Nothobranchius furzeri: one gene and its partners. The protein of the gene in region 2 purifies or fractionates together with the protein of the main gene of each other region. This does not show direct contact. Links are inferred from orthologs where the notes say so. Each region holds a gene or a part of one and is shown on either strand. Other genes may lie near its edges.

Region 1 (5,225 bases), on a different chromosome or scaffold from region 2:
AAAACTTAAGCCTACAGGGAAAGGAAACCCAAAACACACACCTTCTCCACTTTTTTGTCGAGGATCTCCTTCATGAGCTTGCAGAGGTTCTCATATTTGGCTTTGTCCTCCTCCATCTTTTTCTTCTCATCCTCATCTTCAGGCAGCTCTAGACCCTCCTTGGTGACAGAGACCAGGGTCTTGCCATCGAACTCCTTCAGCTGCTGGACGCAGTACTCATCAATGGGCTCTGTCATGTACAGCACCTCAAAGCCACGTTTGCGGACACGCTCGACGAAGGCGGAGTTGGCCACCTGATCTTTGCTCTCACCTGCAGAGAAACCAGATCCTCAGCAAGGATGAACAAGTCTACGGGGAGGTGTGGTTTCCAGATAGTGTGTGTTAGTACCAGTAATGTAGTAGATCGACTTCTGGTTTTCCTTCATGCGGGTGAGGTACTCAGTCAAGGAGGTCATCTCATCACCAGACTGGGAGCTGTGGTAGCGCAAAAGCTCAGACAGCTTCTTGCGGTTCTGAGAGTCCTCATGTATGCCCAGCTGAGGAAAAAAGCAACCAAACATGATCTTTAAATGCAAAATACAGCAATGCGTCCCTCAGTTTATAAAACACACCAAGCCAATTCAGATGAATCCACCATTTAGTTTCAATACCTTCATGTTCTTTGAGAAAGCCTCGTAGAATTTCTTGTAGTTGTCTTTGTCCTCCGACAGTTCTGCAAACAGCTCCAAGCACTTCTTGACTATGTTTTTGCGAATAACCTTCAGGATCTTGCTTTGCTGCAGCATTTCTCTGGAGATGTTGAGGGGCAGGTCCTCAGAGTCCACAACACCACGGATGAAGTCTTGAGTGGACAAAGTAATTTTAAATGCATTAGCCATTTAAAGAGTCTGTGGAATCATTTCAGACCACAGTGGAAAATGCAGCTGAACTTACTCAGATACTCAGGAATGAGCTCCTCACAGTTGTCCATGATGAAGACCCGCCTGACGTACAGCTTGATGTTGTTCTTCTTTTTCTTGTTCTCGAAGAGGTCAAAGGGTGCACGGCGAGGAATAAAGAGCAGGGCTCTGAACTCCAGCTGGCCTTCCACAGAGAAGTGCTGAAAGAAAATAAAGCATTAGAAAAAAAATCAGCCCGCAGGGTTAAAACTTTGTCGGAAACTCGTGTACCTTGACAGCCAGGTGATCCTCCCAGTCATTTGTTAGACTCTTGTAGAATTCACCATATTCTTCATTTGTGATGTCATCGGGGTTCCTGGTCCAGATGGGCTTGGTCTTGTTCAGCTCCTCCTGATCAATGTACTTCTCCTTGATCTTTTTCTTCTTCTTCTTGTCCTTGTCTTTGGAATCCTCCTCATCATCTGAACCCACATCTTCAATCTTGGGCTTGTCTTCAGCTTCTTCTTCTTTCTCCTCTTTCTCGGTCTTTTCCTCCTCTGCCTCGTCGTCACTAATCTCCTTGTCGCGCTCCTTCTCCACCTGCGACATAAAAGCTTTAGAAATCTGCCCAAGACTTAAAATTTTTAAAACGTACTTTTAAGCACTTACAAACAAGGTGATGGGGTAGCCAATGAATTGAGAGTGCTTCTTAACGATCTCCTTGACCCTCTTGTCCTCCACATACTCTGTCTGGTCCTCCTTCAGGTGCAGAATGATCTTAGTTCCACGGCCAATGGGCTCGCCTGAAAACATTTGAGGAATTTTCAGAAAAGCTAAAATAAACTAGAGTAAGCAAGTAGTGCACACTCAGACGTCACTGGTGATGGTTAGAATTACACACCGCTGTCAACCTTGACTGTGAAGGAACCTCCAGCAGATGACTCCCAGGCGTACTGCTCATCATCATTGTGTTTGGTGATGACGACCACTTTCTCAGCAACAAGATAAGCAGAGTAAAAACCCACACCGAACTGACCAATCATTGAGATGTCAGCACCAGCCTGGAGGAATAAAACAAATTTAGCTTCACAAGATCAGTCAGTCTCTTAAGATCCTGTGCAGGCCATTATGGGATGCGTAGTACCTGGAGGGCCTCCATGAAGGCCTTTGTGCCCGACTTGGCGATGGTGCCCAGGTTGTTAATAAGGTCAGCTTTGGTCATGCCAATCCCGGTGTCAATCAGGGTCAAAGTCCGGTCAGCTTTGTTGGGAATGATGTCAATTTTCAGATCTTTGCCAGTGTCCAGTTTTGAGGGGTCAGTCAAGCTTTCATAGCGGATTTTGTCCAGAGCCTGAAAACAGGGAATAGCGGTTAGTTTCTTCCTTAAAGTCAGAAGAATACTGAAGCTTCAGCAGACTCACATCAGAAGCGTTTGAGATCAACTCCCTAAGGAAGATCTCTTTGTTGGAGTAGAAGGTGTTGATGATCAGGGACATCAGCTGAGCGATCTCTGCCTGGAAGGCAAAGGTCTCAACCTCCTCCTCTTGGTGCATTTCTTCAGGCATCTGAAAATATAACAAAGTCACTTCAGTAAATGAAAGTGAAACAGAACTTAAGATAGTTTCAAAGTAACGCGATTTCGTCAAGTGGCTTCATTAAGTTGGATGGCCGCTGCAGCAGTCTGCTACATAAGGGCGGAAGTGTCAGTTAACAAACATGGCTTCTACTAGACAATGGACGCAGCAAACACGTGCTGGCGAACGATTAAGGCGGATCAACTCAAGTCACTTTAATAGATAAACAATGCGACGACGACTTCCATAAATACTACAAACGTACTTGTTTTAGCCTCCATGTGATAGTTTCAGTAAAACGTGGAGGTTAATTGAAACCGCGTTCAATTACGTAACGACCAAATGAACACTACCCCTCGTGGCTGGTAACCAGGCCTTATTACGCACACATTAAACTCAGTGTACCGGTTTAACGTGGGTTTATAACGGATTTAATCAGGCCGAGAACTCGATCCAGCGGAGTCACCGTCACCACACCTGCCTGACATCACGGTGCCGCATTCCCGCTGCTCAAGAGCATCACTACGATGCTCGGAAACATAAGCAAATAGTAGTCTCTCGAGAGGAAAATGAAAACATCAGCCGACGTACTAGGCGTCTGTCTTCCACGAAACACTTATTCGACCACCATATTAACCTCTGGATTTTCATTAACTAATAATGTTCGTTAAACACATACATACCGATGATATTTTAACAAACTTATAAAGGTAAGGATGTCTGACACGAGCTACGGACCCGTTAATGTACGCACCTTGGTAATTTCGTTGACTTTTTCTTGAATAAAATGCAGCAAAAGTGTAGTCCCTTGCGCTCCCTGACTGAAGAAAAAGGAAAGGAACTACTTTTCGGCACCAGACCAGTCTTTATACACGTGGGTCGCAGTGTGCAGTCGTATCCATCCGCAGTTCACGAGCTACAACCTGAAGCAATCACTTTTATGTAAAACCGCAGCCAGAACTAAACACACATTGTATGCTTCCTCACTGGAAAAGAATAATCTATTATTCACGTTTTGTTGGGTAAAAAGGGTTTAAATGCCAATTATGCAATCTAAGTAAAGAAAATGTATACGAAGTCGGACCTTAGTGTAACGTTGTCGCCATCTTGTGGTAGGTTGAGCTACAGCAAACCATGCACTGAGAGGCGATGTTTTTTGATCTCAATCATCCCATCTAGCGACAACATAGAGAAATGATTCGCATAACACTAAAACCACGCGTCAAGTTCAAATCTCAAGTGGCGTCTAGTTTCCCTGAAATTCGACATAGACTGTGGGTCTTTTTACTCCGACGGATGAATATTTCAAACACGAGAAGGTGTGCTTCGTTTCTTCTAGCCTGCTTCTAGCACTTTCCATGAAAGCCCCGCCTTAAAGTGACGTCACAGATCTCCCCCTTTCCTCTCCCGACGTATCATCTGTCACAAAATGTTCCTACAGCAAAAACGCCTTAACAACCATCAACTCAACCCTTTTCCGTACTGAATCATGAGAATATATGCTTTATATTGTCAAATGAACTAATGGTTGTTATTATATGAATTACAGATTTTCTTATGGACATAGAACACCAGTGGAAGATGGACTGCTATACATAAATGTAATACTATATTTGTCATGTTGATCACGACTTTGGAATTGAGTTTTTAGTACAGTGTAAGGGGAAGAAGTCACTGTTGTCAAGTGGATTAGAGTGGAATAAATGTACGCAGTTAGACCCATCAAATGCAAGAGATGCACAAATGATTATGATTCAGCTTTCTATTATGTAGTTTAACTACAGAAGACACATTTATAAATTTAGATAGTAACCTCAGTGATAAATAACAGAAGTACAGTCATACTTTGCATACAGAATATGTTATTTATTAGTTACAATTTCAGAATTGGTAAGAATGACCATTTTAACAATAATGTACACAGAATTTTTATGTACTCTTTTAAAAAACATTTAAAAAGAAGTTTAACATTGAAATAATCATATGATGGCTTTATCCTCTAATTGATTAAAACGAGTAGGAAAATCACAATGCTGTTTTTTTATGTGATCAGATGTTTTGTAAATTAAACCGATTAGAAACAAATCGTTTTAATAAAAAAAATGCGGACCGCTTTTTTGGTGTAACTTAATTTCAATGCTATTATTATTCAACCTTTTTTATTCATTTAGTTACTACCGCGCATTAGGTCTTCCAAGGTTAGTTAGGTAATCTGATCGAACCCTGTTAGCAGAAGTTTCGTTTCCTGAAAAGGGTTCATTTTGCGAATTCACATTAAGCCCCGTTCAGTGTATACACTCTGGTGCACAAAACAAGCGCGCCAGTACTCTTGCTCCTAAAGCGCGTGCGTCAAACTTTTCGAGGGCCCGCGACCAGCTAGCGTGCTAATCAGGCGTCCAGAACGTTAGCTATTAATTCACTATCATTAACATTTTTAGTGGATTTTATCTCATCATACGCCACCTGGTTGAGTGGTAGGTATATGTAGAGGCTTTTATATTTACTTCGAGCTCATGTTTAGCCTTGGGAAAGTCAGTGTTTTATTATAAATTAACATCTGCTCGGGCTAGGTTACTTTAGCATTTTAGCTGTGCCGGTGTTATATCGGGTAACGTGCTCATTGCTAGCTTTAGCGTACTTAGCTGTTGTGTGTGGTTAGTCTTAATATTGTTGAGATGTTAATATTTTTAAGAAGTTTGGACTTTGTTACTTCTAATTAGCGAATGGCACCTCACAAAGTTTGGCTAAGTTTAGTTAACGTTCCAGCAAAGTC
Region 2 (5,220 bases):
CATCCTACAGCGCTTTCAAGGTCCCCCTGCTTAAGCTAGCTTTCCACCTTGCAGGGGGAGACAAGCTGGCTGCTTAAGTACATTTTATTTATATAGCACTTATCACAGACATCACAAAGTGCTTCACATAGATCAAAACAAAATAAAACAAAGTCATAAAGTGCAGGCTCAACTTTAGAAAAGCTTTAAATAAAGGAAATGGAACAAGAATGAAACTCTGAATCTTCTACTGAGACAAAAGATGGAGCTGCTTTTCCACCGTTCTCTAATCAATAAGTTTTGTCTTTCAGCTGCTGCAGCCTGAGTCATTCTGTGCATGTGCAAGTAGGTGTGTGTGCAAGTTCTTCACTGCAGTGTGAATTCTGTGTAAAATGACGTCAAAGATCCTGCTGGTGGTAAAATATCAGAGTGTGTGTTTGTGTGAAATGAAGGCACATCTCAGACATGCTGTATAAATATGTGAGATGCAGTCACAAGAAGGTCGGATATGTAGGAGGGTGGTGGTAAGCAGGTGGAGATGATGAGAGGAGAAGGTGCTGCAGATGAGGAGAGAGAGATGTTGTTAGATGTCAGGCTGGACGGATGACCTAAAATGCATAAAGCTGTGAATTTAAGGATTCTTGTATAATTCAGGTCAGGAGGCAAATAAATGCAACTTTACATTTAAATGTTTTTTTGTTTTGTTTTGAAAGATGTCCTAACAGGATCCTGGATTTACAAACATAAGAGCCTGAGTTTGAGCATACAGACATTTGCACTTTGTCTCCCTCTAGTGTTTCTTTATGGAGACATTAGGAAAACATTAATTTTGTAAAGCAAACTGCTTTACAATTTATTGATTATTCATCTGAGGATTTTCAGCGTAGTAAATATAAAAAAGAGAACTGATGTGATTAAACGATTAAAAATAGTCGCAAAATTATGAAAAATTTGAATAAAATAAAACTGATGATTTATTTGTATCATTGTTTCCTGTCTCTTTGTGCACGATTGCAAAAATCAGATTTTTTTTAATCTGAGGGACAATAAACTGAGCAGAAAAGAAAGTTTAAACATCCACTTCTCTTCGGATTTGCCTGCAGCGACACCAAAATGTCCACACTAAGTGCCGCTAAAGGGATTTAGCCTGTTCTAGGTGAATTATGAGCTTTTTCTTTTATAGGAATAAGAAAACAACAGGACACTTGATCATAGCAACTCAATCTTTAATATCATAAGATATAAAAATCTTCATCTTTATCATACAATAACATCTTACCATAATACCATCAGTCAAAAGACCACCAAACAAGAAATATATCAGAACTTTGATCCCTTTAGAGGTAAGAAAGCTGGCTAACAGATTATTCAGCCTTACAGGTCCTTCCTTCTTTCATTCTCAATCCCGTTTTCTACTCCAGACATGCTTCCTCACATGTAGGCACCGAGCTGAAAGCAGGACCTACCCATCTGTGGGAATCGGTTTGAGACACACTTCTTCAGAACATCTCAAAATCAAGGTCCGTCGAGTGTAGAAAAAAAAAAGGTGAATTCCAAACTCAGGAATTGCATAAAAAGGGAAATTCCACAATGAGGGAAGAAGAAGAGACCTGCAAGGCAACAAGTCCACAGATCAGCTCAGCGTGTCTTTTACCATTTTAAATCCCCACTTTCTTGAGATGAAAAACCAAACAACAAAAGCTGAAAACACAAGAAACAGCCTTGAAAATACATCTTTCAGAAAAAAAAGTCATTTAGCAAACTGCAACATGCCACATTGTTCCTCGGGCAGGTTTTCTTTCACGGAAAGCCACCTACTTTACTAGTTTTGTAGTCATAAAAATAGTCAACATTTCAAATGTTTGCAAACAGATTTACGAAGCTGAGAAAAGGGAGAGCAGAAAAAACGAGGAAGCCACATGACATCATTACGTCACCAGACCATGCACGGCTCTGCAGCATCCCGCAAGACAACAAACATAAACTGCAAGTCATGCAACTGACACACACAAACTCACACACTCGCACACAATCGCACTGTAAAAGCAAATACTCGTGTATTTTTCTTCCTCCCCAGAATCCACCTCATCTGGTTTGGTTGTACCAAAACCAACAAGGCGTTTGTGGAAAGAGGTTTTATATTTTTATGAAATTATGCTCTTTGAAAAACATTGAACAGCAGCTGAACAGTTTGTGTGTGTGTGTGTGTGTGTGTGTGTGTGTGAGTGTGTGTGTGTGTGTGTGTGTGTGTGTGTGTGTGTGTGTGTGTGTGTGTGTGTGTGTGTGAGTGCAGATTGATTTGGCAGCGCATTTAGAAACATAAAGCTCATCAACTCTGCAAAAACCCCCCCAAAAAAAACAAACAAAAAAAAGAAAATCAGACAGACGGACAACGGAACAGGCAGACGGACAAGCGTGCAGCGAGGATCAACTACAGCAACGATCCAGAGAGAAAACGTTCATGTCACCATCAAAAACAGTTGCAGGTTCATGCAATCACTCGCTCACATGTCGCTCATCCACACGGCAGTAAGACATCCCCCCTCCCCCCTCGTCTTGCTGCTCGGATCACATCGGCCCACACACAGATAGCAAGTGCAGGACCACTGTTTGTGTTCCTTGGCTGTTTTTTAAATCTTTTTTTTTTATACATATATTCTTTTCATTTGGAGGCTGGACGCAACGTCCCAAAGCAAAGCCGCGTGGTGCTGGTGAGCCCCCGGTGACCTGATCAGCTGTTGAGTCTCTACAGGGAGGTGGACGGCAGCTTCTTGACACGCCTCTGGGCGAGGAAGGAGCTCTCGATGGGCTTGAGCTCTGGAGGGGGTTGGGAGTTCTTCAGGGCGGAGTAGGTGGCGGCCATCGCACCCTGAATGTAAACAATAACAAGAGGTTGTTTTTTTTTTACTCTATTTCATTCAAAATTTATGAAATAAACACAAGCAAATGCAATACATAAACATAATGAAAAAAAAACATTTGAATGAAAAGGAGCAGATAGAAGAAAAATCTTATCATTTCTGCCCCTTTTTACAAAAGAAAATTATCTGTAAAACACACAATACAGCCTCAGTCCCTTTCTACTTTTTATATATATAATCATTGACATTTTAATTTACCTTTTCACAATTGCTTAATACATTTGATTTTATGCATTTTTTGAATATAGCAAGTGAGTTTGAATCTTTAATATCTCTGTTAAGGGCATTCCACAATCTTACACCATTTACAGAAATATCACATTCCTTCATTTTGGTTCTGAATTTAGTTTTTTTAAAGACATCAGTCCCTTTTAATATGTACCCACTTACTCTCCTATGAAACATTTTCTGAATATTAGTTGGTAAATTACTCGTATTCGCTCTGTACATTATTTGCAATATTTTCCACTCTACCAAGTCAGGAAATTTCAGTATTTAATATCTAATGAATAATGAATTTGAGTGATCTCTGTAGTTACTGTTATTAATGATCCTCAATGCTCTTTTTTGTAAAATAAACAAAGGTTGAGTAAAAGTTTTGCATGTGGCTCCCCAAATATCCAGACAATAAATTAAATATGTTTCAATCAGCGAGTGATACAACATTAATAACACAGACCAATTTAGCAGAAATGTGACTCTATATAATACCGCTATGGCTTTGGCAACTTTCCCCTTTATATAACTTATGTGATTTCCAAGTGAGACACTCATCAAACATGACTCCAAGAAATTTGGTTTCTTTTACTCTTTGAATTTCCATTCCATCTATCGTTAAAGATACATCACAGTTTCTTTTGTTGTTAAACAGTATAGTTTGTTTTGTTCAGGTTCAATGACCGTCTATTTATATGAAACCATTTTTTTTACTTTAATCAGTTCACTGTTTATTACTTGAGTTACTTCATGTATATTTAATCCTGAATAAAACTGGACCAAGTAGATGAGATATATTTATAAGGTCATTAATAAACAATATGAACAGTTTAGGTCCGAGGACCGACCCTTGTGGCACTCCATAATGAATATCTTTCAATTCAGATCTGGCATCATTTATTTGAACAAACTGTTTCCTATTGTCTAAATAACTATTAACCCATTGATGAGCCACACTTCTTATTCCAGAGTTCTGATCAAAACTGAAGGAGCTCTACTGATCTGTAGTGTTTTAGAGGACTGAGGTAATTTATGGGAACTAGTGGCATCACTTACTCTCCATCCAATCCATTTTAACTAAGGTTTTACATACACACACACACACACACACACACACACACACACACACACACACACACACACACACACACACACACACACACACACACACACACACACACACACACACACACACACACACACACACACACACACACACACACACACACACACACACACACACACACACGAAAACGAGATGGAAAAAATATTGGTTGCTGATTGCGGCCCAGTTTTGCATATCAGACTGATACTTGTATGTTAAAACAGGACTAACATCGGCCAATACCGATTGATGCCAATATATCGTGCATCCCTAATGTTGCCGGAACCATTTGAATTAAATTGAAATGTTAAAAAATGTAACTCGTCCCGTGTTATTGCTCACATGCTTAGTGGTCACTTTTGTGAACAGCTGGGTATATATGTGGGTGTTGGTGGTTGACTTTATATAAGCAACAGTTTAGGACTCTAATGTGACAAGGCCACCCACTGACGGTGTGTGGAGTGGTAATACTGATGATTAAAATAAATAGTAAAAGTAATAATAATATTAAATTAACCAGTGTTTTATTAAAGAAAGTATTTCATTTTTCTTCATTGTTTAGGCTGACTTATGAGCAAAGTTTGGAAAAACAAACAAATTAGCACAAAAGGAACACATTTAAATGGCATTATGCCCTCCTGTGGCCACAATAAATATGACAAAAAAAATTAGAAATTGAGATTTCCACACTGCAAAAACCGATTTTTAAAAAGGCTTGTTATTAGACATGGTATCTTTATTTTCTGCAAAACAACACTACTTAAAGTAAATATTCTCAAATTTGATCCACATTTTCTTGTTGAGTAAAAAGATCTCATAGTGAGGTAAGCAAAATGAAATTGAACATTAGGTTATTATTCTAGTTTTAAGAATTAAAGCCAAGTTACTTTTGCTTACCTCAAAGGCAGATTTCTTTTACTGAAAACCAGAAAATTTGGATCATATTTAAGAATATTTACCTTATTTTAAGTCGTATTGATTTGCAGATTTGTTTTCTTT
Region 3 (5,193 bases), on a different chromosome or scaffold from region 2:
CATTTAGCTCTTGCAGTTTCTTTTGCGTCTCAGTCAGCTTGCGCCGACATTCTTTCAGGCTCTTGTTGATGTCTTCTCCTTTTTTCTGGAACTCTTCCATTCGATCCACACGTGCCTGAAATGGGATGATGCCAATCACAACTGGAGGTACAAAACTTTTACAATACACTTTGTTACAAGTTTTGTAGGCTTAGTAATTCACTACAGCTACATAAACAGGTTTGCTAGGAATTAGCATAGGGAGAATGTTGTTTGCAACACCAAACTGAGTCTAGGACGCCAGCTAACCAAAGTACCAGTCCGAAGTTAAAAGAAAATCAAAACTCAGTCACGTTATAAATCAAAAAGGTACCTGGTGTCTCCATCTGAAGAGGCTGGGTGTGTCAATGTTTGGGTGGGTATCATCTTCATCGTCCGAGACCTCAATGTGATCCCACACGCTGTAATCTATCCTGGACATCCTGTAAACCAGAACCTAGCTTGTTTTAAGAGTTCGATAATTTCAATTAAAACTCTCGGAAAAACAAATTCAACAACACTCTGACGCTTTCCAAAGTCTCCGAAAGATGTGTTAACTACCAACGGCGCATTAGACTGTAGTCTTATCAGAAGGGAAGGAGCTGGACTGTCTCAGCGACAGTTAGCCAAATGCTGCTACAAAATTCTAGAAAGATTCGCTGCTGCAAGCTTCCGCTACACGCCTAAACGTCATGACGTAAAAGGCACGTATGACGCAGGTGTTGTGGTAAAAAATGCACTCGTATGTGCCTGCGACCGTATGTTAAACTTACTAGAAAAACCAAGTTTTTCACAAACGCACCCCGTTAATAAACAAGTAAAGATGTATGAGTTAAAGTTCGGTTTCGAACAAAGTCTGTTTGACACAAATGCCTATACGAACAGAGGGGCTTTTTCCGGCACAACACCATGAGTTACAAAAGTGAACTGAACAGATTTCCTTCATTTCTTTCTTCGTATTTTTACTGTAGTTACTCAGATTTCTAAACAACCGAAATATCGTTTCCACTATATAGATACCATTTGTGTAGCCTACATAAAAACCATAATGTCTGATCGTGTACCAATCCATCCTTATCCTCATATTATTGCATATAGTTAAACCTGGTTAGCAGCAGATTAGTCAGAATGTTAGTCTGTTGTACAGATTATAAAAGTATTTACATCACAACTATTTTTGTAGTTTCTTTACAAGACGTGACTTCTTTTTCTCCACATTTGTGCTTTGACTTTCTTTTATTTATTAACTTATTATTGTATGCTAAACTGAAAGTACTATAAAATATCAAGTATCTTACACAATTATTTTTCAGCTAATCTAAACATTTCTGTAAAACTTAAAAAAGCAAACTGTTTTTCTCTACCGAATAAAACTATCTTCTTGGACTTTTCCCCCTTGTCAAACATCCACAGACTGAGGCTGTTTTCTCAGCGAGACATCTTACCTTCTTTACTGGACCAAGAACAGAGGCTGAGAGGTCTTGATGATGGTATAGTGTTCAGCTTTTTTTTTTTTTTTTTTTTTCATTTTATTTTTTGTTATTCTTTGGATGGAAAAACCACAAGTAAATGTTTAGATATAAACTAGCAAACGCTTCTCAAGAAACAATAATTAGAGCTGACCCTGAAAGCTGACTGGAGATCCAAACAAGCCAGTATTCAGTATGGCGTCTTAACCAGTGATCATCCAAATACCAAAAATCTGATTGATTTTTCATTAAACATAAACAGCCCAAAATAGTAGTATCAGCTCAGCAGGTCAGGGTTGAAAAAGAAATCTGCATGTTGGCCCTTAAATCCAGAATCAGCTCATCTCTGGAATTGTTAAATTTTCTCTTGTTTCGTTTGCTTTCAGCCCTTCATCCACCCAACATGGACATTCTTATAAGTGCCAGTAAGCATTTTGTTGGACACATTCAATTAGAATAAATCTAAATGATTTCAAGAGTTTGAAACTGGTAATCTCAATGTTTGCACTGTGAAGATGGAACCTCGACGTGATCAATAATTTATTAATGGATGACTTTTGCAATGAATTTTAGTATTTTGTTAGCAATGGTCAGTTTTAAAATAGTATGTGTAATAATAATAGAATAATTGCTCTCTTTATCAATCTGTTTAGGAAGCTTCTAAAGAAGTAATGACTGAAGGATGAAAGTTGGTGTTAGGATGGTGTAATATGGAACATATTATTGCCACACATGAGATTGTTTTTAGAAATTAAATGTTTCTGAAAATACTTACAGTGTGTTCTATATGTGCATTACTCACAAGCATGATGATAAAAAAACCTATTTTTACAGACCTGAACAGGGACATGAAAACACACACAAATAGACAAAAATATAGATCAGTTAAATGTTTTACCTGGTGATCGTGAATCGTCACGTTTACATTAACCCAGAGCTCTGAGCAGAATAAACACGAGGAGAGCTGGGACCACTTTAATATAAATATCAGGAGTTTAGTTTGGGTCTGCCACCAGAATCACAGTCAAGATGTCTACTATCAGTCTTTTAATGTATTTGTTTCTGTAAGCAAGCATATTTATAACAGTCTCACGCATGGACGTAATTTTCACTTTAGAAGTGGGGGGGACACGGGTGTGTGTGTGTGTGGGGGGGGGGGGGGGTATCTTTACAGTATGCTCTAATGGGAAACAGGCTTCAACACAAACAGTTGTTTTCCACTTGGTCCTAGAGCTCAACCAGTGTGAATTTAATATAGCGTAAAATTGTTTTTGGATGGTAAAAAGTGCAGGGGTCAAAACTTGACTTTGGAAAAAGTGGGGGGGACATGTCCCCCTGACCCCCCCCCCCCCCCCCCCCAAAATTACGTCCATGGTCTCACGTGATCTTCAGCTCACTGGCATGCAAAGATTCGATCATTTTAACACGATCAGAGGGCGGTGGACATAACCTGGTTGTAGTTAATCACACTGCCAGGGAGGAGTGTTATCTTAAAGCTTTACACGTTTACACGTCCAGTGTTAAGTTTAGTGTGTACTTTTATGATAATTATTATGATACATGTAATAATGAATACATTCCAACGGTAAATGCCAAACACACTGACATTTGATTGAGATGTTTTTATGCGTTGCTCTTGTTCCCCGTTGGTTTGGACTCCCTAAACCCGGAGCAGCAGATGGATTTCCCGGCCTGAGCTTCACAGCACCGCCGCATCTCTCGGATCACATTCTCACACAAACTCTCCGAGTAGTTGTTGGCTGCAGGAGTGGAACGGAGTTATGTGACTGTGGGGTTCGCCCGCTGTCTAGCAGCATTTTCATCTACATTTAATGTACCTTGCAGACACTTTTGAATAGCACATGCCTGTTTTTGACACGGATCTTTCTCCGGCATGCCTGAAAGAAAACGCAGCAATAGTGTAATCAAATTTTAAAGCATCAGGATACCCAAAAGGAGCTAAAAGCCGATTCCCACCTGGACGTCTTAGCTAGTGCGATGCATTCTCCTCTCGCGAGAGTGATCATGTGACGCAACGAGATCTAATCAAATCCGGACAATGAACAACAGCGACCTCTGGTGTTGCAAAGGAATTTGACAACGTCGCCTTGAAAACCTAAATGTAATTCCAAAATGTTTTGCAGTAACCGAACATAAAATGTATTTATAGAATAATTTTGAATATTTTTTTCATTAACTAACCTTCAGAAAGTATAAATTTACATTTTAAAGAAGCCATAATCTTTTGGTGGGAGGTATTTTTCACAAGTACGGAAATTTTGTTTATTTATTTACATTACTCAGAACTGGCACTAATAACTATCAAAATACACGTTTAAAAATCAAACCATAAAAAGAATTTTTTGTTTATTTAACTTTATTTATAAAGATAAGAACATTTAGAAACAGTTCATATTTACAGTAACTTCACATTGTTAGTCATTGGCGTATCAAGGGTAGTTATACTTTGTCAAATTATGATTTTCTTTACTTATTAGATCATTAAAAATATTCTAGTACATATATAATAAGGGAAATTTTATTACATAAAACAACAACAGTAGACTACGACAAAAATCAACCTTCACATAATAAATGGCGTTTGCTAAACATCTTCATTTGTCTTCTTTGTGAGATCTAACTCTGTATGATAACAGAATACATCAAAACATCCACTGATTACTGAATGCTTCCATCTCATGAGGCAGCAGCAATAAAACCTGCTCAGTGAAATTCTTCCAGCTGATTCAAGTCCTGTTAGTGGGCCTTAAACACCTGAACAACAGAAAACAAATTAGGATGCAGAGTTTTACTTGCAGATGTAGTTCCTCATACTTCCCCTTTACCTTTGGTCTTTGCTTTGACAATGAACTGTTTGCTCTTCTTTTCCAGCGTGTTTGAGGCAGCACAGGTGTATGTCCCAGGGAGAAGGGAGGAGGAGGTGATGACTGCTTCCTCCTTCACCCGCTCCTCTATGGGATGGGAGGATTGCCAGCTGTAGGCAGGAGCAGGGTTTCCTGCAGCTGTGCAGTTTAGGGTGATCCCATCACCCTCGGTAAGTTCTAAAACTTCTGTTTCAGGACTGAAAAAAGTTGGGGGAACTAAAAAAAAAAAAGAATGACAGACTTTACGTTTCATTATTGGGACATTTTAGGAGTGAAAGTAGCTTCATAACTCACAGAGGACATAGGCAGTGAGAGGTTCTGAAGACACTGTTGGAGGTGGTTGAGGTCCTTCTGGTCCAAGCTCCAGTTCTGCTACACACTTATACTCTGCCTCGTTCTCAGCTTTGGTTGGTGTGATGACAAGAGTAGAAGACACTTGGACAGGAGAGGAAGATGTGAGGTCAGAGAAGGAGTGTTTGTACACCTCTGTCTGACCTCTGTACCACCTCAGGGTGAGATACTGAACAGGAGCAACGTTCTGAACCTCACAGAGGAGCTGGTACTCCTTCCCCTCCATCATGGGGCCGGTGTGGTTCACCAACCTGATGGAAACACTGTCGGGAGATTCTGAAATGAAGGGGATCAAAAGTTCAGCTCAAACATTCAGCTCTGTCATGAAATTTAAAAATGAGAGGGACTGACTCACTATAGAGAACGAGGTTGAGTTTCTCCTCACACTGTCTCGGAGCTTTGAAAAACACCCCATAGCAGATGGGTTCCTCGATCCAGTCGATAAGACTGTCCACTTTCCACTGGACAGA

What was found.
Region 1: the proteins of rps6ka1 (region 2) and hsp90ab1 purify together in Homo sapiens (affinity purification with mass spectrometry; 3 studies listed by BioGRID and IntAct, with this or other methods). This does not show direct contact. The link is inferred for Nothobranchius furzeri from reciprocal best matches to the Homo sapiens genes RPS6KA1 and HSP90AB1.
Region 3: the proteins of rps6ka1 (region 2) and cdc37 purify together in Homo sapiens (affinity purification with mass spectrometry; 4 studies listed by BioGRID and IntAct, with this or other methods). This does not show direct contact. The link is inferred for Nothobranchius furzeri from reciprocal best matches to the Homo sapiens genes RPS6KA1 and CDC37.

What each region holds. Positions count from the first base shown.
Region 1 is NC_091742.1:8,415,179-8,420,403, forward strand, and holds the start of hsp90ab1 (heat shock protein HSP 90-beta), read right to left. Parts: upstream 3,348-5,225; 5' UTR 3,207-3,347; intron 2,444-3,206; coding exon 2,300-2,443; intron 2,230-2,299; coding exon 2,023-2,229; intron 1,940-2,022; coding exon 1,780-1,939; intron 1,682-1,779; coding exon 1,548-1,681; intron 1,479-1,547; coding exon 1,170-1,478; intron 1,100-1,169; coding exon 934-1,099; intron 842-933; coding exon 651-841; intron 537-650; coding exon 389-536; intron 311-388; coding exon 42-310; intron 1-41. UniProt on the Homo sapiens protein: Molecular chaperone that promotes the maturation, structural maintenance and proper regulation of specific target proteins involved for instance in cell cycle control and signal transduction. Undergoes a functional cycle linked to its ATPase activity.
Region 2 is NC_091758.1:28,115,739-28,120,958, forward strand, and holds the end of rps6ka1 (ribosomal protein S6 kinase alpha-1), read right to left. Parts: intron 2,849-5,220; coding exon 2,726-2,848; 3' UTR 2,707-2,725; exon of another isoform or gene 2,581-2,706; intron 1,590-2,580; 3' UTR 1,189-1,589; downstream 1-1,188. UniProt on the Homo sapiens protein: Serine/threonine-protein kinase that acts downstream of ERK (MAPK1/ERK2 and MAPK3/ERK1) signaling and mediates mitogenic and stress-induced activation of the transcription factors CREB1, ETV1/ER81 and NR4A1/NUR77, regulates translation through RPS6 and EIF4B phosphorylation, and mediates cellular proliferation, survival, and differentiation by modulating mTOR signaling and repressing pro-apoptotic function of BAD and DAPK1.
Region 3 is NC_091745.1:3,428,392-3,433,584, reverse strand, and holds the start of cdc37 (hsp90 co-chaperone Cdc37), read right to left. Parts: upstream 3,111-5,193; 5' UTR 3,096-3,110; coding exon 3,094-3,095; exon of another isoform or gene 3,088-3,093; intron 2,324-3,087; exon of another isoform or gene 2,263-2,323; intron 704-2,262; exon of another isoform or gene 462-703; coding exon 353-461; intron 116-352; coding exon 1-115. Other genes in the region: cmc4 (cx9C motif-containing protein 4), read right to left, coding at 3,111-3,247, 3,326-3,383; uncharacterized protein, read right to left, coding at 4,255-4,262, 4,334-4,588, 4,667-4,999, 5,079-5,193. UniProt on the Homo sapiens protein: Co-chaperone that binds to numerous kinases and promotes their interaction with the Hsp90 complex, resulting in stabilization and promotion of their activity. Inhibits HSP90AA1 ATPase activity.